Linked DNA regions of Stegostoma tigrinum. The protein of the gene in region 3 interacts with the protein of the main gene of each other region in a pairwise test. Links are inferred from orthologs where the notes say so. Each region holds a gene or a part of one and is shown on either strand. Other genes may lie near its edges. The genes, in order: gmds, gas7b, ntaq1 and pts.

Region 1 (7,722 bases), on a different chromosome or scaffold from region 3:
TTGCCCTTCCTTAACTCTATCCAAATAGATTCAGACCTTGAACCCTGTTATATAGTCCCTTTGTAGAACTGGAACACTATTGTACCATATTCCCTTCCTATTACTCCAGAATATGGCCTTTACCTTTGATCTTGAATCTTATTGCTGATATCTTTAAAATTGGTTTCCATTATACTCATTTATTATCCCATGTAGTAACTTGCACCTGTCACTAATCAACCTTGTTTGTATTGGTCTGGTTTCAAAATGGGGAAGCAATGGACTAGTGGCATTGCAGCAAGGCTATTAATCCAGAGATGCAGATAATCTTCTGGGGACCTGGGTTTGATACTCACCTATGGCAAATGAAGGCACTTGAATCCAAATTAAAAAGGAGCCTGGAAACTAATAATCAAGTGAAGCTATTGTCGACTGTCAGGAAAAGGCCATCTGGTTGGCCTGGGTTTGAGTCCCACCTGCTCTGGGGGCACGTAATAACATCTCTGAACAAGTTGATTAGAAAATATCTTAGCTGCTAATACGACAATGCTTCGTTATGTTGCCATTTATCTTTGTTACCTATTGATACAAAATTCTCAACTTTACCTTTCATTTTTGATCCTCAGTAAAATTACACTGTGGGCTCAATCAGGTTTTTTTTTAAATTTCAGGTTCATCAACTTCTTGGAAAACTTTTTGTTGCAACATCTAGTGACATCTCGCACCATAACTGACCAAACTCAGTTATCAATTACCTACCCACACTTATGGCACCTCCCCCCCTTCCAATTTTAGTCCCTTTTTATCATTCACCGTTCCTGGAAGAACTCTCAACTCACTAGACATCTTTGGTGCATACACCACATTTAAAAGACTGCTGCATACTCAGACAAGCACCGGCATCCCAAAGTTGACCTGCTCAATGACTGAACAAAAGATGTCAAAGATGGAGAAAACAATGTTTCAATTCTCCAACAGGGATATGCCACCTCATACGCCAGTACCAATGGCTTTGTTATGCCAACCACTTTCATATCATTCAATCTCTCCCTTTCTCTCATTCCAGGAGAAAGTAGCTGACTAAAGGGTAAAAAAAGGCATCGATCGATGTACAATCACCCAACATCAGGCTCCTCACCCACTATGATAAGGGAAATCTGTCCCTTGCTGGAGAAGGTGGAAGTGTTCCTGCAAAGCCACCAAGGCATTCATACTTGCCAAACAAGGGCTATGCTTCACTCTATTACAACTCTCAAATTAACCCCATTGCCAGTGTCAATCATTGCACATAACTAAATATTGGCAACTAACTATTTTTCACTTTTTGTTGTTGCAGATCTCAGTCTACAACTCCAGTTGAGAAGTGGCCCACTCTGCCAGATGCCACCTCCTTGACCTCTCAGGAAAAGATTTCCAATGCCACAAAGGAAACATCAGCAAGGCTGCATCCCCCACTGCCATCAGCTCAGATACCAACACCTCAGTAAGAATGTCAGCCTTAGAATGTTTGAGAGCACAAGCTGGTAAGCAGCTCACTGTGACAGTTCTGCAGCTAGCTGTGGAAGAAGTGCCTCAGATCATTAGCATTCAAAGGAGAACTGGTGATCAGGCACCTGCTAAGCCCCAGGCAGGAGAGGTCTATGGGAGGAACAGGAGCAACAGAAGGAATGTAGAACTCATCATCCCGAGGCTGTAGGGTGCATCCACACCAATAGTGCCCCAGTCTCAAGCATGCAGCCATCTGGCTGCATCCATGGACAGGTTGGCAGCTGGCATGAAGTCTCAGGCTCATCATTTCAGGATCTGCTGGAGACATATACATACTTCAACTCTATCATCCCAGCCATTTGTTCTCAGGGTCAGAGGCATTGTAACGGGAATATGGAGTCTGGCACGTATGCCAGGTGCCTCTTCCTCACAAGGAAGCAGGGTGGTGCCAAAAGACATTGACAGGGAGTTAAGTTCAGTTGTCAGGCAATTAAACTCCTGGTTCCCACCTTACTCTCTGCCTTGTTTTCCTCCTTTAAGACACTCTTTAAACAGACGTTTTTGACCAAGGTTTTGGTCATCTGATTTAATATCTCCACATGATGTTATATTTTGTTTTTTTTACATTCCACTAAAGTGCCTTGAGATGTTTTATTATAAGTTAAGGTCTGCATAAAGACAATGTGTGCTTTTTGATAAGCACCTGGCTTCACTCCACTGCTGTGCCCTGCTGCACCTCTCCCTTTACAAATAGATTTAAATCCCTCCCACCCCCAAGCACTTCAGCACTCAATGTATCACAATGTAAGATAAAGCTACATTTATATCATAAAACAAGATGCTACAAACACAAAACCGGTTACACATGTTGCACCTGCCACAGTGAGATGAGGTAAACTTGTAACGGCGTCAATTCATAAAACCGACGCCATGCAAAGAAATCCTACAACTACACATGACACCTGTTCAGAGAAGAATTTTAACTTATTTGGAGCACTGGACGTGAGGCGGGGGTGGACGGGCGGTGAGCGAGCTGCATAACCAGTCAGTGAGGAGCAGATCCCGATGAGCACTTAGTTCCATAGAAGAGTCAAACTGGACTCGAAACGTTAAGCGTTCCTTTCTCCACAGAGGCTGCCAGACCTGCTGAGTGGGTCCGGCATTCTCTGCGTTTGTTTCAGATCTCCAGCACCCGCGTTTTATTTGGCAGACACAGTTTGGATGCCGGCATGTGAATGAGTGATGTACCTGTCCAGTGATGCCGGTGATGATGGCTACTTTCCTCTTGCCGACGGCATCTCCAACTGATGGGGCCGGACTGTCACCTCCCGCCGCCGCTTGATGCTCATTCATCGCTGCCAGCGTGGACTCCCCCGGGGCTCGTTGCTGAATCTCACAAGTTTCGTTTCACTTCACCTCCACGTCCCCGTGTACCTACTCGCACTTCCGCGTAGTGAAGGAAGCCGCCGCCCCGCCCCAGCCTCGGTTGGCAACCGTCTGAAAAGTGCCGGTACCGCCCCTAGCAACAGGCCGCCTTCCACTCCAGCCCCATATGCGTCTGCGCCACTCTCCTCCAGAGACAACGACCCCACCAGCACGGGAGGTGCATGCACAAGTGGGTGAATGCGCTTCGGTCTTATTCACCCACGCGAAACCAAGCGGAGGTTTGGAGACCGCTTTGCAGAACACCTCCGCTCAGTTCGCAATAAACAACTGCACCTCCCAGTCGCGAACCATTTCAACTCCCCCTCCCATTCTTTAGATGACATGTCCATCATGGGCCTCCTGCAGTGCCACGATGATGCCACCCGAAGGTTGCAGGAAGAGCAACTTATATTCCACTTGGGAACCCTGCAGCCCAATGGTATCAATGTGGGCTTCACCAGCTTCAAAATCTCTCCTTCCCCTTCTGCATCCCAAAACCAGCCCAGTTCGTCCCCTCCCCCTACTGCATCACACAACCAGCCCAGCTCATCCCCTCCCCCCACTGCATCCCAAAACCAGCCCAGCCTGTCTCCGCCTCCCTAACCTGTTCTTCCTCTCACCCATCCCTTCCTCCCACCCCAAGCTGCACCTCCATCTCCTACCTACTAACGTCATCCCACCTCGTTGACCTGTCAGTCTTCCCTGGACTGACCTATCCCCTCCCTACCTCCCCACCTATAGTCTCCTCTCCACCTATCTTCTTTTCTCCATCTTTGGTCCGCCTCCCCCCTCCCTATTTATTCCAGAACCCTCACCCCATCCCCCTCTCTGATGAAGGGTCTATAGGCCCGAAACGTCAGCTTTTGTGCTCCTGAGATGCTGCTTGGCCTGCTGTGTTCATCCAGCTTCACACTTTATTATCTTGGATTCTCCAGCATCTGCAGTTCCCATTATCTCTCTCCATTGCAGAGTAGGTGGCTTTGTCATGACAGACCGAAACCGAAATTGCTGGAGAGTTTCGGCAGGTCTGGCAGCATTTGTTGGAGAGAAAGAAGAGCTAACTAACGTCCAGTTTCTTCACTCCGTCGATTTTTTTTTAGGCTTTCTAATCAACTTGTTCAGAGAAGTCCATTCTGGAGCAGGCGGGACTTGAACCCAGACCTCTTGGTCGAGAGGAAGGAGCACTACCATTGTGCTACGAGAGCACATAGAATCGTTTCCAAATATTACTTTTTAGAGATGTTGTTTACACACACCTGGAGTAAGCTCGGACTTAAACTCAGGCCTCTTGGCCCAGACGTAGGAACGCTGCCAATGCATCACAAGGATTGATTGTTCACAGGTCTTCTAGTGTCATGATCCCATTGAATGGCAGTGCAGACTCAATGGGCTGAATGGCCTGCTTCTGCTCCAAAATCATATAGTGTTATTACAGTTGGAGGCTTGACATCATGAGCAGTGTGGATGGATGTTGGAAAAGTAATTCCCATTGGTAGTTGGATCTAACATGTGAGGCTGCAGATTTCATGCAGTTGAAAATGGGGACACTTTTTCATGCAGTGAGTGGCAGCTTAAGTTCTGAGGAAGGATTACCGGTCACGAAATGTTAATTCTGATTTTTTCTCGACAGATGCTGCCAGATTTGCTGAGCTTTTCCAGCAACTTCTGTTTTTATTCCCAAAATGCCAGTCTGATCCCATGCACGAGCTGGACACCTGACTGAGTGTGTGAGATGGTCTTGACGTTTTTGATTCCAATTGCTGGCGCACCATGCTGTGGAAGTCTTTGTTTCCTAAGAGGCCTGCAAATGGATCAGAAGAGTGTTACAAATGGTCATGAGGAGTTGGCAAATGGATGCTAATATCTGTGGATGAGGTATGCATGAGGATAGTGCCATGGATTGTGCTCTGAGATGCTGTTTGTAACTGAGCAAAGTGGTGGTTGATTGCAGCCAATGGCATTCTGAAGTCACCAGAGACTTACTTAGTCTTCCATGTGGAGAATTCTTGACAACTAGTTGACTTGGTAAGATTTGATGCTGAATATTAATGAGGTGAGCTGCGGCATCATTAAGGCAGTTAATGAGCATGTAGTTCCCTTATGATAACTCATGGCTGCCAGATGAGAAACCCGCCTCATTGGCAAATGCATGAAAGACGCAGCGCGCTGCACCTGCTGTCAAGATAGGGCTTGACTGACTTCCCATACGATTCAACCACATTTCCCATCACATTGCTCAGACATCGAGAAGATTTCACCCCAAGTGTAGAGCAGGAGCACAACTGTGTAATTGCTCAGAACTCCATGGTGGTCAACAAACCTCAAGCTAGCCTGCTGGAACGTATGCACAATGCAAGACTCGCCAGCAAACGAATGCCGGCAAAGACGATCGGCCCTCGTCGCACGCAAACTGTCCCAGCTGAACATCGATATCGCTGCTCTAAGTGAAGCCCGTTTCGCAGACCAAGGTTCATTGGTAAAATATGGTGCAGGCTACACTCTGTTTTGGCCTGGCAGAAGCAGCACCGAAAACAGACTCTCAGGGTAGGCTTCATGACCAGGAAGACAATCGCCGACAAGCTCCAAAGCCTACCAATCGGCCACTCAGATCGCCTCATGACCCTGCGACTCCCACTACAAGCCAACCAGTTTGCCACTCTTGTGAGCATCTACGCCCCCACACTGCAAACTGAGACCGCAGTCAGAGAAGCCTTCTGCGACCAGCTCAAGTCTCTCCTCCTGAACGTCAGCACGAAAGACAAACTCATTGTCCTAGGCAACTTCAATACGAGGGTGGACAACGACTCAGAGGCATGGCCCGGAGTCCTGGGTTGGCATGGCATTGGAAGCTGTAATGACAACGGGAGGCTGCTTCTGGAGCTCAGCACAGAACTTGGACTGGTGGTAACAAACACACTGTTCCAACAGAAAGCAAGATTCAAGACGACTTGGAAGCATCCCCAATCCAAACATTGGCACCTCCTGGACTACGTCCTAGTGCGCCAAAGGGATAGATCGGACGGCCTACAGACCAGAGCTATGCCGAGTGCGGACTGCTACACGGACCATAGGCTGGTACAGATGAAAGTAAGACTAGTAGTCAAGCCAGTGACAAAGAAGAGAGGACCGTGTTGCAAGAAAATCCACGTAAGCAAGCTCCACAATCTTTGTGACGAATTCCAGTCCAAGCTAGAGGAGAGACTGAAATCCAAGGACTCATCGGACACAGATGGCAACACAGGAAAGACATGGGATCACCTGAAGTCTGCAATGCGAGATACAGCTGTTCAGGTGGCTGGATACACTTCTAGGAGGAACAGAGACTGGTTTGATGAAAATGACACTGAGATACAGACTGTCCTCCAGAAGAAATGCTCTTCCCATCAGACCTTGCTCTCCAGATCTGACGACAAAACAGCTAAAGCAGAATACACAGCTGCGTGCAGTACCCTGCAAGCCAACCTCAGAACGATGCAAAATGACTGGTGGTCAAAACTGGCAGAACAAACACAGCAGTATGCAGACTCTGGAAACACCAGAGCTTTTTATGAGTCTCTGCGCACGTTGTATGGACCAACCCGCCAACTTCAGGCCCCTTTGCGCTCTGCTGACGGTGCCAGTTTGCTTACTGACAAAGAAGCCATTATGGAGCAATGGACAGAACACTACGAGAACCTCTTCGCGGACAATCGCCAAGTACAAACAGCGTCCATCGAGAGAATCCCGCAGCAGGACATCAGATCCAAACTTGACTGTCCACCAATGCTGGATGAGGTTCAATCCGCCATCTCTAAGCTGAAACTCCACAAAGCCCCTGGTATCGACAGAATTCCTGCAGAAGTATACAAATTAGGAGGAGCTTTGCTCTGAATGAACTCACCAACCTATTTGCACTCTGTTGGGAACAAGGTGAGGTGCCAGCTGATCTACATGACTCTGTATAAGAAAAAGGGTGAGAAATTGGACTGTTCGAACTACAGAGGTGTCACTCTGCTGTCTACAGCTGGGAAGATTCTCTCCAGAATCCTCTTGGACAGACTGATTCCCACCATTGCGGAGGACGACCTGACAGAAAGTCAATGTGGTTTTAGAGTGAACAGAGGCACATCCGACATGATCTTCGCACTATGCCAACTTCAGGAGAAATGCCGTGAGCAGAATGTTGGACTGTACGCGGCATTCATTGACCTCACCAAACCCTTCAATACTGTCAGCCGCGACGGTCTATGGAAAATCCTGGGGAAGCTCTTAACCATCCTACAGCAACTTCATGAAGGCCAGAGTGACAAGGTGAAACACAACAGTGACCTATCACACCCGTTCCTCATCAGCAACAGCATGAAGCAGGGCTGCGTCTTGGCACCAACGCTCTTCGCCATCTTCTTCAACATGATGCTGCAGGAAGCGAAGGAGGGCATCACGAACAGCATCTATATTCACTTCCGCCTGGACGGCAATATCTTCAATCTGCATCGCTTCCTCGCTCGCACGAAGACAACATGGGAGCCCATCATGGAGCTGTTGTATGCAGATGACTGTGCCCTACTCACACACACAGAAGATGCGCTACAGACTGCAGTGACACTCTTCTCCGAAGCTGCAAAGGCTTTCGGGCTAACAATCAGTCTGAAGAAGACGGAGATCCTGTACCAGAATCCACCATGCAGCACATACAACCCCCCTCGAATCTCGATCGACGGCCACCCCCTCAACACGGTCGAATGATTCACATACCTGGGAAGCATAATCTCCAACGATGCTAGTCACAGGAGATGTCGACAATCGCCTTGCGAAAGCAAGTAGCGCCTTCGGGCGACTGCGGAAGCGTGT
Region 2 (7,461 bases), on a different chromosome or scaffold from region 3:
ACAACATTTTTCCCAATACTAGGAAACCAGAACTGAATGCAGTATTCTAAAAAGTGGCCTGATGTCCTGTCCAGCTGCAACAGGACATCCCAACTCCCATACTCAATGTACGAACCAATAAAGGCAAGCATACTAAATGCTTTCTTCACTACCCTGTCGCTCGAGGTTGGAGCACTGGCTAGAGGTCTGACCATTACCTCTTGCAGGGCTGCCGCACCAAACCACAGGACCACCAGGTGCTGAGGTCAATGACAGGCCTTCCCCTGGAAACAAGACATTTGAGTTGAAACTCACATTGAGTAAGGGCTGCCTGTCAATCAGGGGCCACAGCACCATGAAGCAGGCTGTGGCCACTGGGAGTGTAGCAACCTGAAATTTCAGGATCATAGAGAACCCAAACTCAAGAAGAAGATAACTGATGGAGGGGGCAGTGGTTTCTCAGGCTGTATTCAGACTGGTCAGGGTCAAATGTACGGCAGGGTTTGAGAAAGCAAGGGCTGGGAGTTAGCTCCCAGCTGGCAAGCACTGCCCATTCCCTCAACTAGGCATCACTTACCTTTGATCAAGGGACACCACCCTGTCCAACAGCAGAGATAGGTTACTTACAGGTTGGCATCTATTATGAACAGAATCTGGTGACAGGCCTGCAATCCCAGGGCAAACAGGCCGAAGCTCTTAGATGGTGGTCAATTAGTCAATTACAGGCCTCAACTAGCAGTGGAGCAGCAGGTTTGTCCAGAGGGGTGTTTACCCCTATAACTTGATTCAGGGACAGAAAAGGTGGCAGTGGGATTTAAATTTACCATCACCCCACTTCATTAAATGCCCTTCCTATCTTCAAATTCGCTTTCTTCATAAACAGAGATTTCTAGCCCTAATTCGTATGCCTTGTACATAATGTGTTACCTCAAAGCAGATCAACACCGATATAAGTCCCTACAGAAAAGAGACATGGGAACTATGTGAAATTATGCATCAAACAAGCATAATTTTTGTAAGAAACTAAATAAAGCTACCCTGCACGTCATTGAAATTGCTAACCAGTCTAGGCAGTGTGAAAATCAGCACGTAATTATCAGCTAGATACAGTTTGTTAAAACCTGCACAACATGGTTTTGCAACGATAGCAAGCGGACGTATAATTGCCAATATTATTATTGTGCTGGGCTTGGGCATTAATCAGTCTGACAGTACAGCGTAGCATTGCCAACCCTTTCGGATTGTCCTCGAGTCTCCACTAATTAATGACCTGGACACTACCGCAGGCTATCTATGAATGAGACAAAAAAAACTGTTTTTTTAAAAAAACAATCTCTTTGAACACTAGAGTAACAGCATTGCGGGTCAAAGACAGGCGGTTTGATTGGTCTGAGAAGTTATCTATAAATGTTGCCAACCAGAATAAGGTTCTGATAGTGATCACAATAAAAGTCTTGGACTGATACGTTTCAGAACTTCGACATTTAGAAAGTTAATAGTAATGTATATATCACACACTATCAAACCAAGCGTTCCAGTGTAAAAGTACTGACATCCAGTGATGCAATGAGCTCAAAGACCATCACTGTATTTTTTTTGTGGGTAGTGCAAACTGTTGCTTTTTAAAGATTTCTTTGAAAGATCAATGTCGTGACTCATTCTAACAGCGGAGACCAAATCCGACAGATCCCCTTAGATAAACGTACAGCTTTCGTTCGAATTTGAGTTTATTCAACTAATATAAATTAGAGGATTGAAAATAGTGAGTTAGTGATTTAAGAACCCAATTTCACAGGTATAAAATTGTGTTACATTTAACAAATCACAAAATTAAAGTCTTAACAATTTCCCGCTTACACATTTTTTTCAAGGATTTCTCCACATTTTGGTGTTGCAACATGCCCCCTAGCGGAAAATGAAATGTTAATATCCGGTGTTGAAAGCATATCGATCCTCAGATTTCAAAACAAGTAGACAAGCGAGCACTATCACAGAACAGTTTACGAACAAGGAGACTTTAGGCTGTTAAACACCGTAAAGCACAACACCACCCTCATTGGCTGTGACAGTTTGAATCGCAGCCTCCAAACTTCTAATACATCTGTATTCAATCTCATTTCCATTGTCCGCTCTCCCTCAAAATGTCAGTTTCCAAAGACTGTGTCACAATTTCCGGACAGTTTACTCATTTATTCTTCCTTTAAGTTTGCTGTGTGTGTGTGTGTGTGTGTGTGTGTGTGTGTGAACCTTACTGATATCAGTCTTGATTCGCACCACAAATATAAAGCAGCCAGGTTCGAAAGATATACAACACAAACAATTACTCTGAACTCCCATTTCAATGAAATAGCATTCATATTTCTCGTCCGGAGCAAAGCAATTCCCATCCGTTTTTGCAACAAAATTGCACTTAGAGCGATTCAAGGTTGGGGGGGGAAAGAACCAGAGCCGTTGTTGGCGGGCGGGGGGGGGAGTTAGTCCCAGGGTTGGTGGAGTTAACAGATGTTTGTGGCGTGCTTACCTCTAGAATTTCCACATAACTTGCAGGGAACCAACCCCTGGTCCCATCCTTCTCTCCTTCCCACCATCCGCCGTTCAGCACCTGTAAAACCTTGATGATCTCCCCAGCCTCGAACTTCAGCCCTTGCTGATGTTGGTCGCCGGTAAACGCGTACAAAGTTTTGCACAGAACTCCGGCCATAGCAGACTCCTTGGTTTTGGTGTTTTACGTGTGACCGCTGTGAGCTCTCTCGCTGAAAAGCTCGAAGCCTCTCCCCTGTTCACTCTCTCTCCCCGCGCTGGGTTTGACGCTAGGCTCAGGAGTCCATCGTTGTTTCCTCCAACTCACGGTATGACTCAGTGCTGAGATCACCACGAGAGGGGACGGATAAGATTCACAAGGAGGGAGAGACAGAGGAAGAGAGAAGGAAAAAGTGCTGCAGTTCTGATATTTCCTCGCTGCTGGCGTTTGGATGAAATCTGCTGCAGTTCTGGATGGTGGCGCTTTGACGGGAAGGAAACGAGCTGATAGCTCTCTCCCATTGTAATTCATTCCAATGTGTTTAGTGATGGGCCGGAGGGGGGGCGGGGAGGAGCATTGTTCCAAGTAAAGAAGGCACTAATAGTAAACATTTAGCAGCGCCACAGAAGTAAGTTACAATCTATATCGTACTGAAAACAACGCACATAATTTCCACATGACGCTCAGAGGAGTCTTTTTTTGTTTTTCTGGAGAACAGGATTTGATAATTCGTTATCTTATTATTTTACTTCCTCAATCAGACCCGACTCCTCTCTTCAGAGATTTTAATGTTTTTAAATAGGTACAAAAGTACACGTGAATTATAATTACACCTTCTGCCTATACACATCGTGTGCCGTTGATTTTCCTTTCAAAAATATAATTCTTCCTTTCCGTATGTAGCAATACTGCTCCTGCTGTCCGATTATAGATTCTACCTCCCCCTGAACCCCACAACCCATTCTTACTTACAGAACCGTTTCAACGAGTTCTGCGCAGGAGACATGTCTGACAGTGGGAGAACGCGTGACAGATTCAGTGTTAACCTGTCCCAGTCCCTGGTACTCTCTCAATCACTGTCTTAGCTTCTCTTTTTCACTCAGGTGACTTTGCCCGCGCAGTAAGATGGAGATGATTTGCTGAGATCAGCTCCTTTGATTGACAAGCAACAGTTCTGCTGTTATTATGTGGGAATCAAAATTCTCGCCAGAGTTTCAGGATGGGATTTAGAAACTTAGTTTCTTCCTCTAAACTCTTAAGAGCTTTTGTTGAGGGTGTTGGGGAATCTCGCTTTTCCTTCCCTGTATTCGCTTGTCTTGCGAACAAACCTAAATTTACAGGCGGTTGTCTGAAACAATGAGACCACTGGGATTTAAAACACGTGAGGCTACCCACTTTGGTAGCAAAAACAGGAAGGCGGTTTCTTATGTGAATTGCGAAAGATTGGGAGAGCGGGAGGTGTCCCCAAAGCAGTCGCCGGAAGGTAAGCACGTAGTGGCAGCAAGTAGTGAAGAAAGCGAATGCTGTGATGGCCATCACAGAGAGAGGATTTGAGTACGGGAGCAGGGATGTCTTGCTGCAATTATGCAGGACTTTGATGGAGTATTGTGAGCAGTTTTGGTCTCCATACCTGAGGAAGGATGTCCTGGCTCTAAGAGCGAGTGCAATGAGATTGGTTCCTGGGGTGCCAGGACTGAATTCACTGGAGTGTAGAAGAATGAAAGTCTCAGAATTTCATAAAATTCTAACAGGACTAGATGTGATAAATGTAGTAAGGATGTCCCTGACGACAAATGAGCCCAGAGCCAGCAATTACAGCCTAAGGTAGGCTATTTAAGACTGAGATTGGGAGAAATTACTTCACCAAGAGAGTGGTGAACCTGTGGAGATTCTCTGTCAGTTGTGACCAAAACATGGTATGTTTTCAAGAAGAAACTTTGTATAGTTCTTCAGGAACAGATTCTTTCCAGCCATTGTCAGACTGTTGAATGGTCTCTAGCCTCAAATGATGTAACCTGCAATATATCCTGTATGCCTCTAATAAGTCTTTTTGATCTGTACATCCTTTGCTTGCTGTGATCTGCCTGTACCATTCATAAACAAAGCTTTTCACTGTATTTTGGTACACATGACAATAAATCAATCAATCAATCAATAAAAGGATCAGAGGTATGGTGAGAAAGACGGAACAGGATATTGATCTCAATGATCAGCCGTGATCATATTGAATTGATGGATTTAAGATGGCATCAACACTGGGCAACTCCTTGTGAGCTCCCTAAAGCAGATCCATTTCTAACATGACTAATAACCATTCTACACTATTACTATGATCTGCCTGTACTGCTCGCAAACAAAACTTTTCACAATATTTAAGTACATGCGGCAATAAAGCAAATCAATCAATGGAGAAGGCTTGAAGGGCTGAATAGCCTACTCCTGCTCAGACCATCTATATTTCTGTTGCTGCATCTTAAATTTAACAATACTATCCACAACATTACAACCTTTCTTCATGCCTGTAGATACGCAATCTCACCCATCTTCCTCCTAGATACCGTATTTGATCAATTAGTTAGTTCATATCTTGTGTTCGCGTCCCCATGTGTTGCACTCATTCGTAGAAACTGTTTCTCACATCCTAATTTAAAGGCTTGCTAATCAGATCTCCTCAATCTTTTCCAAACTCAATCATTTCCTGATGGAGGCCTCTTCTTAGTTCTGGGTGCATTGTCTCTTAATTTCTTTATCATTTTCACATTCTGTTTTTCTGTAGAGTCATAATAAAGTTAGGAGCCACAACAAATTTTTCTCCTGAAAATATTAAGTCTTTATTTGAAAAACATATATTTTGTGTAATAAAATCTTCCTTCTTGTCTGTTTAGCATTTATAACTATATAAACATAGATTTTCTGTATTTCTGGAATTGTGGACTATATTTTTAATGCTCAACCAGTTGGGAATGGGGATGGGTGAGAAATTTTGAATCCCAGACTATTTTTCCAGGATGGCAGTGTAGCATCGGGCTGGCCAACAGCTCCACTTAATGTCCTATTGAAGTCCGTTAATGGAAACCGACCTGGAATTTTCCAGGCCCAACAGGCTGTGGGGCCCCCAGGCAGTCTCCCAATGACAGATTAGGAGGTGACCAATTCAGCAAACAGGGAGATCCCCCCCTGCTTGTCCAGCTTTGGCATCACCCACAGTATTTCCCTGCTCTGAAAGTGTGCAGCACATCAGTATGGCAGTGTTAACTTTATTTATATGTAAGTGCAATGAGTACAGCAAATAAAGTTGATAGGCTGAGGGCATTGATAAATGCATGGCAGCATGATGACATTTCAATTCATGAAACTTGACTTAAAGAGAGGTAAAATTGGCCTCTCACTACCCTGGATATAGAATTGTCAAGCTAGATAGAGTAGAGTGAACAAAGATGGGGCAGCACATTGCTGGTTAAGTATTCCATTACAGATGTGAGAAAGGATGATATGCTAAACATTCATGAAATGAGACCATATCGGTTGAGAATGAGGCAGCCACACTGCTAGGACTGTGTTTTAGATCACCAAATAGGGCAAAAGAGAAAGAAGAGCAAATGCACAGACCAATTTCTGAATACAAAAACAATGAGAAAATAATAGCTGGAAATTTCATCTGTCCTAATATCAACTGGGATATGAAGAATGCAAAAGGCCCAGGGAACATAGGTGACACGGTGGCTCAGTGGTTAGCACTGCAGCCTCACAGCGCGAGGGACCCAGGTTCGATTCCAGCTTCGGGTGACTGTCTGTGTGGAGTTTGCGCGTTCTCCCTGTGTCTACGTGGATTCCCTCCAGGTGCTCTGGCTTCCTCCCACAGTCCAAAGATGTGCAGGCTAGGTGGATTGGCCATGCTAAATTGCCCATAGTGTTCAGGGGTGCGTGGGTTATAGGGGGATCGGTCTGGATGGGATGCTCCAAATGTGGACTTGTTGGGCCAAAAGGCCTGTTTTCACACTGTAGGGAATCTAATCTAAACACAAAATTTCTGGACTGCATTTATGGGAACTTTCTTAGCCATCATGTGACAAGCCCAATGAGAAGGAGGCACGCTTTTAGATTTAGACCTAGGAAATAAAGCTGGACAAGTGGATTAATCAGCAGTAGATGACAAATTTTGGAGCCAGAGACCACAATACAGTTGGACTTGACATCATTATGAAAAAGAGGAAACATAGATAAAGGATAAAAGTTTGAATTTAGGGAAGACAAATTTCATGAAGCTGATAGATGGTCTGGTGAAAGTGGACTGGATGCAGCTACTTGAAGGTAAATCAGGAAATAACAAGGATGCAATTGATATCGAAATTCTAGGGGCATGGTGTGGACACGTCCCCACAAAGGTAAAGTGTGGTATTGTAAAATCTAGAGTTATCTGTTTATTTGAAAGCATAAAGGGTAAAATAAGACTGACAAAAAGTAATAACATGACTGTAATGGGAGAAATGCACTGATGATCCATTCCCACTACATCTTCAGTCACAGCATTAGTAAAAATATATTGCTTCAATTACGAAAATGACCAAGTGTTTCTTTTTGGTACTACCATCCAGAAAGAAGGAATGCTTCTTTAGTAAGACCCTTGTTGCTTCTCTAAGGCATGTCTTCTCTATTGGCTCCTGGATCTGTAAAATTAAATTTCCAAATTAAGAATGTAATGCCAAGCAACTATTAGCCTGCAGCCACCCTTCCTCCCATTCCCCACCCTGCCAGGCTTTTCAAAGCCAAGTTTTTCCAATAATTAAGGCATTTAAATCCAGTTTTCATCTCCTTGAAAGTTTACTTAGCTGTTTTTCCCAAAGTCACTTGATTTTCATTAAACAGCAGGCAAACCACAATGCACTTTAAACAGTTGGCTTCATTCTGAACAAGTCACATAAGAAAAGCCCTTTTTCAATTCAGAAAATGTGCAAATAGTT
Region 3 (7,653 bases):
GGAATTGGCGGCCTGACAGCATGGTGGAGGCAAGGTCAATTGAGTCATTCAACAGGAAACTGGATTATTATCTGAAAAGGAAGGTTGTGCAAGTACAGGGTGAAGGTTGGTGGGTAACATGAGATATACTGATTAACTGGACAGCCTCAGCAGACAGAATGGGCTAAAAGATGTCCTTTGATATTGCAACAGTTCTGTGATTCTATGATACAGACAAAGCAGGAATTTGGTGAAATTCTTGTACCTTGAATTAATAAAACGTACATTCAATTGTAGATTGCACTTACCATCTTTTGGTCATTTGACACGAAAACAGTGTACCATTCTTCCAGAGGATATTGTCTTCTGTTCCTTATGTATTCACAAAGCTTCCATATATTTTCTTCACTAAGAACATATTTTAATATAAATGTGAACATTTATTGCAAAAATATTCACTTTTTTGTCTAAATCAAATGCTACAATATTCTGGGCACCGCTTTTGGGCATAGAGGCGTGAATGATGTATGTATGTTGCGCGGTGGAGTTGGAAAAGTCAGGACTATCCTCTTTAGAACAGAGATGGCTAAATATACAGTTAATACTATGGCTACAAAAGCAGGTCAGAGGCTGGAAATTCTGCAGCAAATCATTCACTTTCAAGCTGCTCAAAGCCTGTCCACCATTAACATGGCACGTCGAGAGTGTGGTGAACACTCATCACTTACCTGGCTTGGTGCAGCTCCAACAACACTAAAGAAGCTTACACAATCCACAGCAAAGCAGCCGCTTGATTAATATCACATCCATTACCTTTAAAGTTCATTCTCTTCACCACTGATGCACAGCAGCAGTGTGTACCACCAATAAATGCACTACAACTAGTCACCAGGCTCCTTTGGCAGCACCTTCCAAATCCACAAACTCTCCCACTTGAAATGACGAGGGCAACAGTTGCTTGGGAATACTACTACCTGCAAGTTCCAATCCAAGCCACTTAGCTTCTGACAGGAAACAATAACACTGTTTCTTCAAAGTTGCTGAGTCAAAATACCGGAACTGTACCCACAAACCAAGCAATGCAGCAGGTCAAGGAAGTGGCTCACTACCGCTTACTCAAAATGAAATTAAGGATGGACAACAAATGCTGGCCATCCCCATGATCGAATTCAAAAAATGACTTTTAAGATGATGAGGTTTTGGGATGGTCAATAAAAATATTATTGTTTCTGAGAAGTGAGTCAATAGCCGGAGGTTGTAGATTTAAACTTATTAGTTAATGAGGCAGAGGGGCATGAGGAAGATATTTCTACTCGCACAGCTGTCAGATTCTGTAATGCTGAACCACAGAAAGGATTCCAAAACTAATTTTTAAAATGAGATTTTGACATGTACCTAGTGATGAGGAATTTACAGGGTTACAGACAAAAAAAAACTCGGCTGTAGGACCAAGCAGAATACTTTTTAGAAGAACAAGCACAAACAACGACAAGCTGAATGGGCTCCTTCAGTTCTGCAATATTCTACAATTACAAGTACAAACTAAGTTTTGTATTCTTTTTATTTTTTGAAATCTGCTCTCATGGCTGGACTTGGACTGTAGAGGTTCTAGTGCTCTTTTGATACCTCATTTTTCTGGCCTTTGTAGGAAGGTAGAAAGATGCCAGAAGTGTACTAAACCCAAGGGTCACAGAGTTGAGCCTGGACCTGTCTTTCCACATGGAAGAAAATGAAATATGCTGCTTGGGAGCGGAGACTCAAAAGAAAAATAATACAACTTGTCTGCAAAATGGAATTTACAGTCTATTAGAGTATTGCTGAAAGCAGTTAAATATTTTCAATCATACTTTAACTGCTAACAATATAACTTATATAGCTTGATCAATGCTGATTACACTTTAGCAGCATTAAAAGCCAGGTTGACAATAAATAACTGTTTAGTCCTAAAAGTAAATTATGAACAATCCTTCAAAAGAAAAAGTACATTTGTGCAATTATATTGCATATTCCTAATTTCAGCTCAAAACAAGTGCTATTTGAATAGAAGGATCTACACTGACATAGCAGAACAAAACCATGTGAAAATCCTCCATTGATTCGTCGGAGAGCAACCCTGTAGGGGAAGGCAGGTGCAGACAAGTACAAATAAACTGTTGTTGTAAGTTTTAAGTACTAACCTTCACAAAATAAAATCGCTTAAGATGTGATTATTAAATAAAATTTGAAACTGAGCACCCAGTGAAAAAAATAGAACAGGTGACCAAAGTCCTGATCAAAGAGGTAGGTTTTAAAGGAGAGAAGCATACGTTTTGGGAAGCGATTCCAGAATATAGGGCCCAAACAGCTGGCCTTCCCCCTAAAAGGAGAAATAAATCCAAAGCTGTCAAGATCAGGTGATTGGGAGAAGGTAACGTTTAGGGACTATTCCAGCAAAGGAGGCCATTCAGTTCGATATATCTCGGCCGGCAATTTTGAATAAAACTGCCCAATCAATCCCACTCTCTTCCTCTGTTGTAGCGTTGCAAATTATCCTTAGAAATGTTTGTCCAATCCCTTACTGAAAGTCCCTACAGTATTTGAATCAGCTTCCGCTGCGCTTTCAGCCAGTGCACGTCAGATCACAGTAGTGATTTTCCTTTTAAAAAATACACTGATAACACAACTTCCGTTTAATTTATGGAAAACGTCGCACAATTTGTGGGACTTACACCCCCATTAAATAACTGAGACCATTTTTTCCCAGTAAGGCCTGCTTACCAATAACAGCTGGTGTACACACAATCCTCCTTTCGAATGGCTGAGATCTGGCTCTTACCTCCTGGGTCTAACCTCTCAGGGTTTGGGATACTCATAACAACTTCGCAACAACGACAAATTAGAAACTAAATTGCAGGATACCTAAATTTTCATTCATAATACTAAACAGCGAATTCATTCAAACAAAACTGGCTCAAGGTAAGAACCAATGGGATTACAACCTTAGGAACCATTCATCGGGGATTAGGACCAAAACAGGAAGCCGGAAGGAATAGCAGGTGCACACGGAAGAAGACTGCCTCGCTTTCTTTGACGTTTGGGATACTGCCGCCTGCGTGCGCAACCTCCGCTGCCTCAACGAAGTGTTTTAATACGTTGACGCGTAAAGCTGTCATGTTAAAACCTGTCTTTCGTAACAGTGTGAAATAATTATGCACTTTCTTCAATTAGCAATATGAATTGTATTAGGTTGATATGGGGAGTAGGCGTTGAATTCATTCACGTTTTCCTTCAATTGTTGCTTTTAACTCTATGGATATCCTGGTCATGTCTCTACCTCTGGCCTGGAAAATTTGGTTGTAGTCACACCTGAAGCTATGTGTTCGTGGACGTGTGCCAGCAGGTTCATAATCTCCCCTTCCCCTACTGCATCCCTAAACCAGCCCAGTTCATCCCCTCCCCCCACTGCACCACACAACCAGCCCAGCTCTTCCCCTCCACCCACTGCATCCCAAAACCAGTCCAACCTGTCTCTGCCTCCCTAACCGGTTCTTCCTCTCACTCATCCCTTCCTCCCACCCCAAGCCGCACCCCCAGCTACCTACTAACCTCATCCCACCTCCTTGACCTGTCCGTCTTCCCTGGACTGACCTATCCCCTCCCTACCTCCCCACCTACACCCTCTCCACCTATCTTCTTTACTCTCCATCTTCGGTCCGCCTCCCCCTCTCTCCCTATTTATTCCAGTTCCCTCCCCCCATCCCCCTCTCTGATGAAGGGTCTAGGCCCGAAACGTCAGCTTTTGTGCTCCTGAGATGCTGCTTGGCCTGCTGTGTTCATCCAGCCTCACATTTTATTATCTTGGAATCTCCAGCATCTGCAGTTCCCATTATCTCTCATAATTTACAACTCGGTTTGTGGTGCAGCAGTTTTGTGCCTGACGCAGTGTCAAAAAGTTGTGTGTTCAAATCACGACATTGAGAAATTTTGAGACTATAGGGTTAGCTGATCTTGTGTTACAGCGATGGTGTCCCTTCCTTTGAACCCAGTGGTGTGCTTGTAGATGTCTGCAGATTTCTAGTTGAAGATTAGTTTTCTCATGAAGACTGTCAAAGAAACAATTGGACCCCAGGCAGACATGTCTAAGATACTGAAACCAAAGAGAAAGTAAATTGAAACAAAAAGGAGTAGCACTGAACAAACATAGGTATTTAAGAAAATTGGAAGTTTGATGTCAACTAATGTGAAGTGATAGGTTTTGAACATGAAGAGGAGAGAAAGATGGAGAGGTTTATATAATGTAGGAATTGCAGCAGTCAATTTGGATATAGCAAAATCTTTAAACAATGTTATAATAACTGCAAAATCTGTTTTAGTGATGTTAGTGGAGAGATAAGTATCCGTCATTAATTCCACACACCCCTACAAAATAGTGCAAGGGTGAGCATTTACATTTAACTGGAGCATAGATGAGACCATTGTATGATGAAGATAGTCAACCAGTGCAGTAGTGTGGAGGTAGAACATAGAAAAGTACAGCACAGTACAGGCCCTTTGGCCCATGATATTGTGCCGTGGAATAATCCTAAGCAAAAATAGAATAACCGAACCTCCATTCCCCTCAATTTACTGCTGTCCACGTGCATGTCCAGCAGTCACTTAAATGTCACTAATGACTCCGCTTCCACGACTACCACTGGTAAACTATTCCATGCGCTCACAACTCTCTGGGTGAAGAACCTCCCTCTGACGTCTCCTCTATACCTTCCTCCTAACACCTTAAAACTATGACCCCTCGTGGCAGTCAATCCTGCCCTGGGGAAAGGTACTGAGATTACATGTTCATTCTCCTGCAGTGGGACTCTGTGTTAGACAGGATGACTACAGCAAACCTTTTATTAATGGACACTTATGGGATCAGGAGCGTGTGAGTTGACTAAATATTCCAGTTGATCAAGAGGTCCACATAATCAATATAAAAACTCTCACTAATTAATAGAAATGTAATGCGGCGGTATACACATCGCTGTTCTACTTATTTGCAGCATAAATCACTTAAATAATAATGCAACTTTGCCTGAAATAAACCTTACTGGCAGAGAGCCCTCTCACACCCTGAACTGACTGACTACTCAGAGATTGTGATAATTCAGTAAACTTCCTATATTTGAGGTATATAATTCTTAGTGGTTTATCAAAAATGCTGGCCATAAGGTATCGGTTAAAACAAAGTTTGCAGTAATATTTTGACTATTAGTAAAAAAAGGGCATCAACTGGACTTATTGAAAAGGGACAGTCAAAAGATTGTGGGTGTAAGAATTAAAAGGTACAATATACCTTAAAAATTGGACAGCTTCAGGTACCCAGTACCACTGAATTATACAGTACAGGAAGCTATTCAGCTCATTCTACTACTGCAGTCCCTTTGAAGCACCTATACAAATTATTCTCATTAAGTTGTTCCCCTTAGCTCTGCAAATTTTTCTTCAAAGTATTTATTCAATTCCTTGTGAATCTAGCTATTGAATTCCACCATTACACACCTATTCCACCTTTTTAGGAAAATCAAGAGCTCCCTAAAAGAACACTTGGGATATGTGTGAAATTGCCTCTACTGTATAACTTAATAAAATTATGAAGATTGGGGAGAACCTTTCTCATTGGAGGGTAGGAGGTTGAGAAGTGACCTTATAGAAGTTTATAAAATAATGAGTGGTATAGATAGAGTTAATGGTGGTTGTCTTTCCCTCAGATGGAGGATTTCGCGTCTCGGGGGCACATTTTTAGGAGACAGAGAAATTTTAAAAAGTCACACAGAGTAGTTTGGGTGTGGAATGAACTTCCAGAGGAAGTAGTGGATATGGGTACAATTGCGACGTTTAAAAGGTTTTTGAATAAGTACATGACTAGGAAAGGTTTGGAGGGATATGGGCCAGGAACAGGCAGGTGGGACTAGTTTAGTTTGGGATTATGTTTAGCATGAATTGGTTGGACCAAAGGTCTGTTTCTGGCTGTGCGACTCTATGACTATGAGTCTATTTATGGAAATATGATCACTGGCAAGTCCAGTGTTTGTTACCCCTCCCAAATGTCCTTGAGAAGGTGACAGTAAGCTGTCTTCTTGATCACTGAGTGGCATGGAATGCCATATCGGAATCCAGTTAAAAATCAACCACATCATTATGGATCTGGAGTCACATGAAGCTCAGACAGTGTAAGGATAGCAGATTTCCTTTCTTGAAAGACAAGGTAAAATAGATTTTTTAGAAAAGCTATCAAATAGTTCCAAGGTCACCATTACTCAGACTTTTTATTTTCACAGTTCCATTTAATATTTATTTGTCCCTACCACTGGACAGAGAGGCTTGTGTTCAAGACCCACCTATTCCAGAGATGCATAATAACATCTCTGAACAAGTTGATTAGAAAACTGTGTGACAATACCATGGCCTTGGGTGTATTTTCTCCTTCTTGTGAAGAGAGGTGTTGAGCCATAGGCACCAAGCTGTCTCCTCCAAGCCAATAAAGTGTACAGGTTGTGAGGACGTGGGGATTTTTAAAAAGTTGAAAAATAGAGTCAGCATGAACAGGGGAGTCAGGCTCCCATAGAACTTCAATACACAAACATTACATTGACTCTAAACGTGCAAATATTCAACACTACAGTCCATTTCAATCAGTTTCTTCTGCCAACAAACACCTTCATTTTCTTTCGTTAAACTTGTGACAACGCATCAGCAATTACATTCTCTCGTCATACCATGCATATAATCTTTAAATTAAGTGGCTTTAACAACAAATTCCATGTTGGCAATATTGTATTTCTCTGTTTTTATTTTTCCAAAAAACATTAAGGGTTTATGATCAGTATATACAATTGTCTCAGGCGCATTACTGGGAACATAAATGTTGAAATGTTGCACCATCAAACTCAAGGTCTCCTTCTCAATTGTGGAACATTTCTGAGAAGGACATGGAGCCTTTTTCATTTCATGTGAGAAAGTAGCTAAACAAATGAGATGGTTGGTGATCATGCTGATATTGTTGATTCAAACCACATTTGTCGGTGAAATAACTCCACGAGGACCAGTATCCCATCACCAAGTCACCTTTTACTTACATGTGCGTAGCATATGACACTGGCCCAGCTAGCACAGAGCTGGTTCCTGTAGTATAAAACTAAAGGTTTTTAAAAATGAAGCCACCTATGTTTATTGATAGTTCATTTTTCTTTTAAGGGGTAGGGGAAGGTGTAATGATATTATGGCTTTAAGAGGAGCATTTTGCCCTGTGTCTTTTTGAAGAGAGGTTTTGAGTATCGATGAAAAACTGCCTCCTCCAGGCTAATAAAATAAATAGTCATGAGGCCTTGGGATTTTTTAAACGTTAGTATAATGGAAGCAACATGAATGGGTGGAATCAGGTTCCTACGGAACCAGAGTTTTATTTTCACTCAGCAGTTGTTGGGGTTTGCAGTTGACTGTGGAAACTGTTACATCTGTTATGGACCAAATATTAAGATAGCTGAGACCCTAACTTGTTACTTTAAAAGTAAGAGGCATTGTGTTCTAGATGTAATTTGATTGGTCAAAATTACTCAACTTTAAGCAAAATAAACTTTATTTTTGAACCAGAGTTAAAAGACAAACAAAACAAAAATTAAAAAAGGCTTAATTGTAACTCTATTGAATTCTGAT
Region 4 (7,083 bases), on a different chromosome or scaffold from region 3:
CAAGCCCTACTGTGAACACAGCCATCATTTTTTTTTTAAAAAGAAAATTAAAAGCAGACATTTAATTATGGAGTTCACTTTAATGCTTTATTTATTTGGGGAGATGGTGTCATTGTAGTAATGTCACTGGAGTGGTAATCCAGAACTCCAGGCGATTGTTCTGGGGACATAGGAGAGAATTGTGCCACAGCAGATGGTGGAAACTTGAATTTAATAAAGAAAAATAAATTAAAATGAAGAAGTCAAATGGCAAACATTGTCTGTTGTTGTAAATACCCACCTACCTCACTGGTGTCTTTTAGGGAAGGGATTCTGCCATTGTTATTTGGCTGGGCCTACACACGACTCCAGATCACTCCAATTCACTTTTAACTGATATCTAAAAATGACCAAACAAGCCACTGCCCAAATCCCATGCAGTGTTTTTTTTGAAAAAAATTGGAGCGTGAGGACTGAATGCTGGGAGGCAGCAGTCTAGTGATGTTATTGCTGGATTGTTAATCCAGAGTGCAGAAAATGTTCTGGGGTCCTGGTTTCAAATCCCACTATGGCAGATGGTGGAATTTATATTCAATACAATCTGGAATTAAGAGTCTAATGATGGCCATGAAGCCAGTGTCAATTGTTGGATAAATCAATCTGGTTCACTCATGAAAAAGAAAGAAACGGCCATCCTCACCTGGTCTGGCCTACATGTGGCTCCAGAGCTGTAGCAACATATCTGCTTCATAACTGCCCTCTGGCCAATTAGGGATAGGGCAATAAATGCTGGCCTAGCCAGTGATGCCCTCATCCCATGAATGAATTAAAGAAAATATTGGGCTCTAGTGTAGTTACAACTAACCCAAGCATGAACCACCAGCTAAGAAAGACAGCTGTTTTGAGATTACAAACCGTTTGAATATGTTGCAGCAGTACTTTCAGTGTATTTTCAAGTGTATTGCCCTCTTGTACTTTGCAAACCTCTATGTCCCAGTCTGTCATTCAGAAATTCCTGGTCCAATTACTCTTTCACTCCTGCTTCATTATTACTTCATGAAGCAGCCAAGAATTAGCCAGCAGTCTCCTCAAAACAAGCCAAGTTCCCCTCACACATCATGCCCGTATAAACATTACTGTCATCACCATATTGAACACAAATATTTGTTTGGCTACATGATAAATTGGTCACAAAACCCCTGGATATCCTGGCTTTAAGATGTGTCCTCTGTGACCCGCAATCTTTCTTTGCAACAGTAGCAAAGCTACTTGAGTTTAACCATCCATAACTGAAACAAAGCCCTCTTTTCAAGAGTTTAAGAACTAGACAGATTTCAAACTTCATTATGGGACAATTACTAATCTGTAAATGATTGGAGGTTTCAGAGAGCATTTATAAAGCCACAAGACTGGTAAGATTAATCATGGTTCCAGCAAGTGGCAGAATAATACTCATTCATAATGCAATGCTCTAGATAGTTTAAAAAAAGGCTGCTTGTTTGCGACCTTTACACTTGCCCATAAACCTATAGTGGGATATTGCACAGGAATTTGCAATGATGCAATCTGAAATGGTGAATCTTCTACATGGACCAATGTGAATCAGACAAGCATATTGTCTGAATTAGAATCACAGAATCCCTGCAGTTTGGAAGCAGGTCATATGGCCTATCGAGTCCACTCCAACCCTCCAAAGATCATCCCACCCTGACCAACCCCATACCTTATCACAATCCCCCATGGCTAATCCAACTAGCCTGCACATCCTGGATACTATGAGTAATTTAGCATGGCCACTTAACTTGCACATCTTTAGACTGCAGGTCTTTATTGAGCCATGGCAGTCCAAGTTAGAATAATTAATTCATAGCGATATAAATGGGCATATCTCGTTAGGTTTTGACCCCCTAGTGTAAGCATCAAACGCTAAGTGAGCAAACTATTTGATTATCTGCCCTGTTATCTTCTCAGGTGCCTCAGTGTTAGTGCCTGGTTAATAACACTGCGTGTAAACAGTTCGGTGATGTTTGGCTATGTCCGGAGAGCTGTATTATTGTTGCAGGCTGCTGTTGAGAGATTCGCCTTAAAGATTTTTCTATGGAAAGACCACGTCTTAAAGCGGCTGAGTGAATAAATCGGATGTAAATAAGTGGATTTTCCAGTGCGCCGAGTGCACGACGAGGGGTCACTGACACAGTTGCCTTGTCACAGAGCTGGGGATAGATGTGAGTCTCTCATAAGAACAGAATACACTCCAGGATTCTCCAGCATCCGCTGTTCCCATTATCCCGCTACACTACAGGCCTGCCTGGACGTACGGACGTGAGGCAAACAGTGAGGCTCACAGTACTGAGCCAATCCACATCACTGATTAAATCCAGGGCTCCTACAACACAGCTTGCCTGTTACGAAACAGGATGCAATAATTCCGGGAATGGGTTACGCCGAATTAAACAGGACCTGTTACAGCTGCGGTTCCGGGGTGGGGGAATGTCTCAGACCCGGCATTTACCTCTGACCTCAGCGAGATTGTGAATTGTCAATTTCACACGCGGTTACGGAACTGAAAGCAACGAAGAACCAGGGCCCAACCTCCCTACGCGAGAGATCCTGCGCAAAGAGAGTTTCTGTTTGGAACAATGTCATGAAGAGATGGTTAAATAAGACCGATTAACCCATGTACAATTAAACCACAATAGACGGGGCGCATTTCCTGAGCACGTTTCACCGTTGAAGCTTCCATATTATGTTCTTGCTCTCAGTGAAAGTGAAACTTACAACGTCCACACTGGGATGGTGCCAGTTTTTTTATTTATTTACCTATGGAGGCGATGAGCAGCGTTGAAGCTTTCCACTCTCGTCACCAGCGCGGTCCTGATGGGTTTCGGTGGCTCCTCTCCCACTTCCATGAGTGCAGCAACAATCTGATCTCCACGGACCAACACAGCTTCAATGCGACAGGTTAGAAGCCACGCACAGCACAGCAGCCACCCGACGTCGCACTCACTTCCGCCAGACCATCACATCTTTCCAAACCCAAACATCCACATCCAACACCTTCACGTTGCTGTAAAGGTGGCTTTTAAAATAGAAAATAAAACAATTTAGGGAAAATGTAAATACGTTGTTTTTACTTTTAATTCATAAGTTATTTTCTCATTTATATTTAATTTGGAAAAAAAATAACAAATTTGATTGACAGACGTTTGTCAAGTTTGGCTTGACATGACATTTCATCAGATGACATATGACCACCTTTGTAAATACATTTGCGTTTACCTCCGTGATATCTTCTGTACCAAACCTTGAGAACGAAAAAAAAGAGTTGAAACTCAGTTAAGTTCAGTGATGCCACCCTACCTTTGCTCTATACAGCGGTCGTAGTTCACGTAGGTACCAATAGAATAGTTAGACCTCGGAGATTATGAACAGGGAGTATGTGGAGCTGGGCACTAAATTATAGAGCAAAACCAGAAAGGTTGTAATTGCTGGATTATTACCTGAGCCACGTGCAAATAGGTATAGGGTACATAAAATAGAGAGAGGAATAGATGGGAGAGATAACGGGAACTCAGATGCTGGAGAATCCAAGATAATAAAATGTGAGGCTGGATGAACACAGCAGGCCAAGCAGCATCTCAGGAGCACAAAAGCTGACGTTTCGGGCCTAGACCCTTCATCGGAGAGGGTTCTGGAATAAATAGGGAGAGAGGGGGAGGCGGACCGAAGATGGAGAGAAAAGAAGGTAGGTGGAGAGGAGAGTATAGGTGGGGAGGTAGGGAGGGGATAGGTCAGTCCAGGGAAGACAGACAGGTCAAGGAGGTGGGATGAGGTTAGTAGGTAGGGGATGGAGGTGCAGCTTGGGTTGGGAGGAAGGGATGGGTGAGAGGAAGAACAGGTTAGGGAGGCAGAGACAGGTTGGGCTGGTTTTGGGATGCAGTAGGTGGAGGGGAAGAGCTGGGCTGGTTGTGTAGTGCAGTGGGGGGAGGGGACGAACTGGGCTGGTTTTGGGATGCGGTGGGGGAAGGGGAGATTTTGAAGCTGGTGAAGTCCACATTGATACCATTGGGCTGCAGGGTTCCCAAGCGGAATATGAGTTGCTGTTCCTGCAACCTTCAGGTGGCATCATTGTGGTACTACAGGAGGCCCATGATGGACATGTCATCTAAAGAGTGGGAGGGGGAGTGGAAATGGTTTGCGACTGGGAGGTGCAGTTGTTTATTGTTTATAGGCCCCAAGATGACTTTCCATATTAAGCAGAGGTTCACCTGCACATCTGCCAATGTGGTATACTGCATCCACTGTACCCGGTGTGGCTACCATCTACATTGGGGAAACCAAGTGGAGGCTTGGGGACCGCTTTGCAGAGCACCTCTGCTCGGTTCGCAATAAACAACTGCACCTCCCAGTCGCAAACCATTTCCATTCCCCCTTCCATTCTTTAGATGACATGTCCATCATGGGCCTCCTGCAGTGCCACAATGATGCCACCCGAAGGTTGCAGGAACAGCAACTCATATTTCGCTTGGGAACGCTGCAGCCCAATGGTATCAATGTGGACTTCAGCAGCTTCAAAATGTTCCCCTTCCCCCACCGCATCCCAAAACCAGCCCAGTTCGTCCCCTCCCCCCACTGCACCACACAACCAGCCCAGCTCTTCCCCTCCACCCACTGCATCCCAAAACCAGTCCAACCTGTCTCTGCCTCCCTAACCTGTTCTTCCTCTCACCCATCCCTTCCTCCCACCCCAAGCCGCACCTCCATCCCCTACCTACTAACCACATCCCACCTCCGTGACCTGCCCGTCTTCCCTGGACTGACCTATCCCCTTCCTACCTCCCCACCTATCTTCTTTTCTCTCCATCTTCGGTCTGCCTCTCCCTCTCTCCCTATTTATTCCAGTTCGCTCTCCCCATCCCCCTCTCTGATGAAGGGCCTAGGCCCGAAACGTCAGTTTTTGTGCTCCTGAGATGCTGCTGGGCCTGCTGTGTTCATCCAGCCTCACATTTTATTATCAGAGGAATAGATGGGTTTCAGTGTGTGGACCATTGACCAATCCTGGGGAGCTTGAGGGCTGTACCATTCGGACAGCTTACACCTGAACAAATAGTGAGGGCAAGGGATCAAACATGGAAAGATGTGGTATGTCAAAGAATGGGGACAAACTATGTCAGAACATGGTAATATGGGAGATGAACGTCAGATAATAGCAGGTAGGGTAAGATGGAATAAAGACTTCTTAAAGATTTCTGGTCTCCCTGCTATAGGAAAGACATTGTGAACTTGAAAGGGTTCAGAAAAGATTTACAAGGATGTTGCCAGGCTTAGAGGGTTACAGCAATAGGAAGAGACTGGATTGTCTGGACCTTTTTTCCTGGGTGCATTGGAGGCTAAGGGGTGACCTTACAGATGTTTATAAAATCATGAGGGGTATGGATATGGTAAATAGCCAAGACCTTTATCCCAGGATAGGGAGTCCAAAACTAGATGGCGTAGGTTTAAGGTGAGAGGGGAAAGATTTAAGGGAACAAGATGCCAGAGGAAGTGGTGGAACTATAAACATTTAAAAAGCATTTCATTGGGCATATGAATAGGAAGGGTTTGGAGAGATCTGGGCCAAATGCTGAAAATTGGGACTAGATTAATTTATTTGTTAGCATGGATGAGTTGGACCAAAGACCTGTTTCTCTGCTGTACATCTGTATGAATCTATGACCCTTGAATTAACTGAAAAATGATACGGAAGGCTGAACACACACACGAGCAAGTGCAGGAATAGCTTCTTTCTGACTATTATCAGACTGTTGAATGGACTGTAGCCTCACATAATATAACCTACAATGTAATCTGTATGCCCCTAAGTCTTTTTGATCTTTACATCCTTTGCTTGCTGTGATTTGCCTGTACCACTCGTAAACAAAGCTTTTCACTGTATTTTGGTGCACATGACAATAAATCAATCACTCCACCTGGGAATACAGAAACCTTCAAGACTAGACATTACAAAAATAACAAAAGAAAAGCCTAACCTGTGTACTATTCAGAACAAAGTAGATGAATTGATGGCATAGACAGAAGTAGATAAGTATGATCTGAGTATAATTATGGAGGCAGAGCTTCAGGATGACAACGATTAGGTCTTGAATATTGAGAGGTAATATGACAATCAGGAAAAACAGCAAGCTAATCAAAGCTGGATTGATAGCACTGTTAATCAAGGATGGCATTTGTACAATCGTTCAAGATGAACTTGATCCAGGAAATCAGGATGTAAAATAATTTTGTAAGAAGTTGCCCTTTAGGTCTCATTAAATCTTTCACCTCTCACCTTAAACCTATGCCCCTCATAGGTTATAAACTTCTGTAAGGTCACCCCTCAGGCACTGATGCACCAGGGAAAATAGCCCCAGCCTATTCAGCATCTCCTTATAGCTGAAACACTCCAACCCTGGCAACATCCTTGTAAATCTTTTCTGAACACTTTCAAGTTTCACAACATCTTTCCCATAGCAGGGAGACCAGAAGTTTTTATCCTCTCTGCCCTTTCCTACTATTCTCTGCCTCTATTTCCCATATTACCAGGTTCCGACAGACTTTATCCCTACTGTTTGATATCCCGCATCTTTCCACATTTGATCCCTTGCCCTCACTATTTTGTTCAGGTGTAGACTGTCTGAATTGTACAGCCTTCAGTCTCCCCAGGGTTGGTGTCAGTGGTCCACCCACTGAAACCCACTTCTCCCAATCAATCTTTGAGCTACATATCCCACTGCCTAATTTTATGTACCCAATGCTTCAAGGGTGTGCCTCAATGTAACCACAAGGTGGGACAAAATATGTCAAAAAAATTGGATGCATATGATAGAATGCCAGCAATAAGCACAAGTGGCTTTAATCTACTTATGAATGTGAAAAATCAGATTAGCAGTTGTAGCCTGGATGAAGAGTTCATAGGATGCTTTCGAGATTGATTTTAAAGCTGTAAGACACTATCACAGAACAGGTTAGATTAGACTTGATTAATTAATGACCTCAAAGTCAAGGTATTCCTAGGTAGCAACATCCACAATATGATTGAATTTTACTTCCAGTTTGACAGGGGGA

Evidence for each region.
Region 1: the proteins of ntaq1 (region 3) and gmds interact in binary tests that used the Homo sapiens proteins (3 or more experiments, as listed by UniProt). The two-hybrid records come from large-scale screens. The link is inferred for Stegostoma tigrinum from reciprocal best matches to the Homo sapiens genes NTAQ1 and GMDS.
Region 2: the proteins of ntaq1 (region 3) and gas7b interact in binary tests that used the Homo sapiens proteins (3 or more experiments, as listed by UniProt). The two-hybrid records come from large-scale screens. The link is inferred for Stegostoma tigrinum from reciprocal best matches to the Homo sapiens genes NTAQ1 and GAS7.
Region 4: the proteins of ntaq1 (region 3) and pts interact in binary tests that used the Homo sapiens proteins (3 or more experiments, as listed by UniProt). The two-hybrid records come from large-scale screens. The link is inferred for Stegostoma tigrinum from reciprocal best matches to the Homo sapiens genes NTAQ1 and PTS.

Annotation. Positions count from the first base shown.
Region 1 is NC_081355.1:14,490,468-14,498,189, reverse strand, and holds the start of gmds (GDP-mannose 4,6 dehydratase), read right to left. Parts: upstream 3,022-7,722; 5' UTR 2,821-3,021; coding exon 2,716-2,820; intron 1-2,715. UniProt on the Homo sapiens protein: Catalyzes the conversion of GDP-D-mannose to GDP-4-dehydro-6-deoxy-D-mannose.
Region 2 is NC_081375.1:45,726,659-45,734,119, reverse strand, and holds the start of gas7b (growth arrest-specific protein 7), read right to left. Parts: upstream 3,003-7,461; 5' UTR 2,681-3,002; coding exon 2,501-2,680; intron 1-2,500. UniProt on the Homo sapiens protein: May play a role in promoting maturation and morphological differentiation of cerebellar neurons.
Region 3 is NC_081358.1:39,416,476-39,424,128, reverse strand, and holds the start of ntaq1 (protein N-terminal glutamine amidohydrolase), read right to left. Parts: upstream 3,005-7,653; 5' UTR 2,832-3,004; coding exon 2,737-2,831; intron 2,638-2,736; exon of another isoform or gene 2,286-2,637; intron 2,273-2,285; exon of another isoform or gene 2,157-2,272; intron 1,294-2,156; exon of another isoform or gene 793-1,293; intron 388-792; coding exon 288-387; intron 1-287. UniProt on the Homo sapiens protein: Mediates the side-chain deamidation of N-terminal glutamine residues to glutamate, an important step in N-end rule pathway of protein degradation.
Region 4 is NC_081375.1:46,560,335-46,567,417, forward strand, and holds the start of pts (6-pyruvoyl tetrahydrobiopterin synthase), read right to left. Parts: upstream 3,001-7,083; 5' UTR 2,889-3,000; coding exon 2,800-2,888; intron 1-2,799. UniProt on the Homo sapiens protein: Involved in the biosynthesis of tetrahydrobiopterin, an essential cofactor of aromatic amino acid hydroxylases. Catalyzes the transformation of 7,8-dihydroneopterin triphosphate into 6-pyruvoyl tetrahydropterin.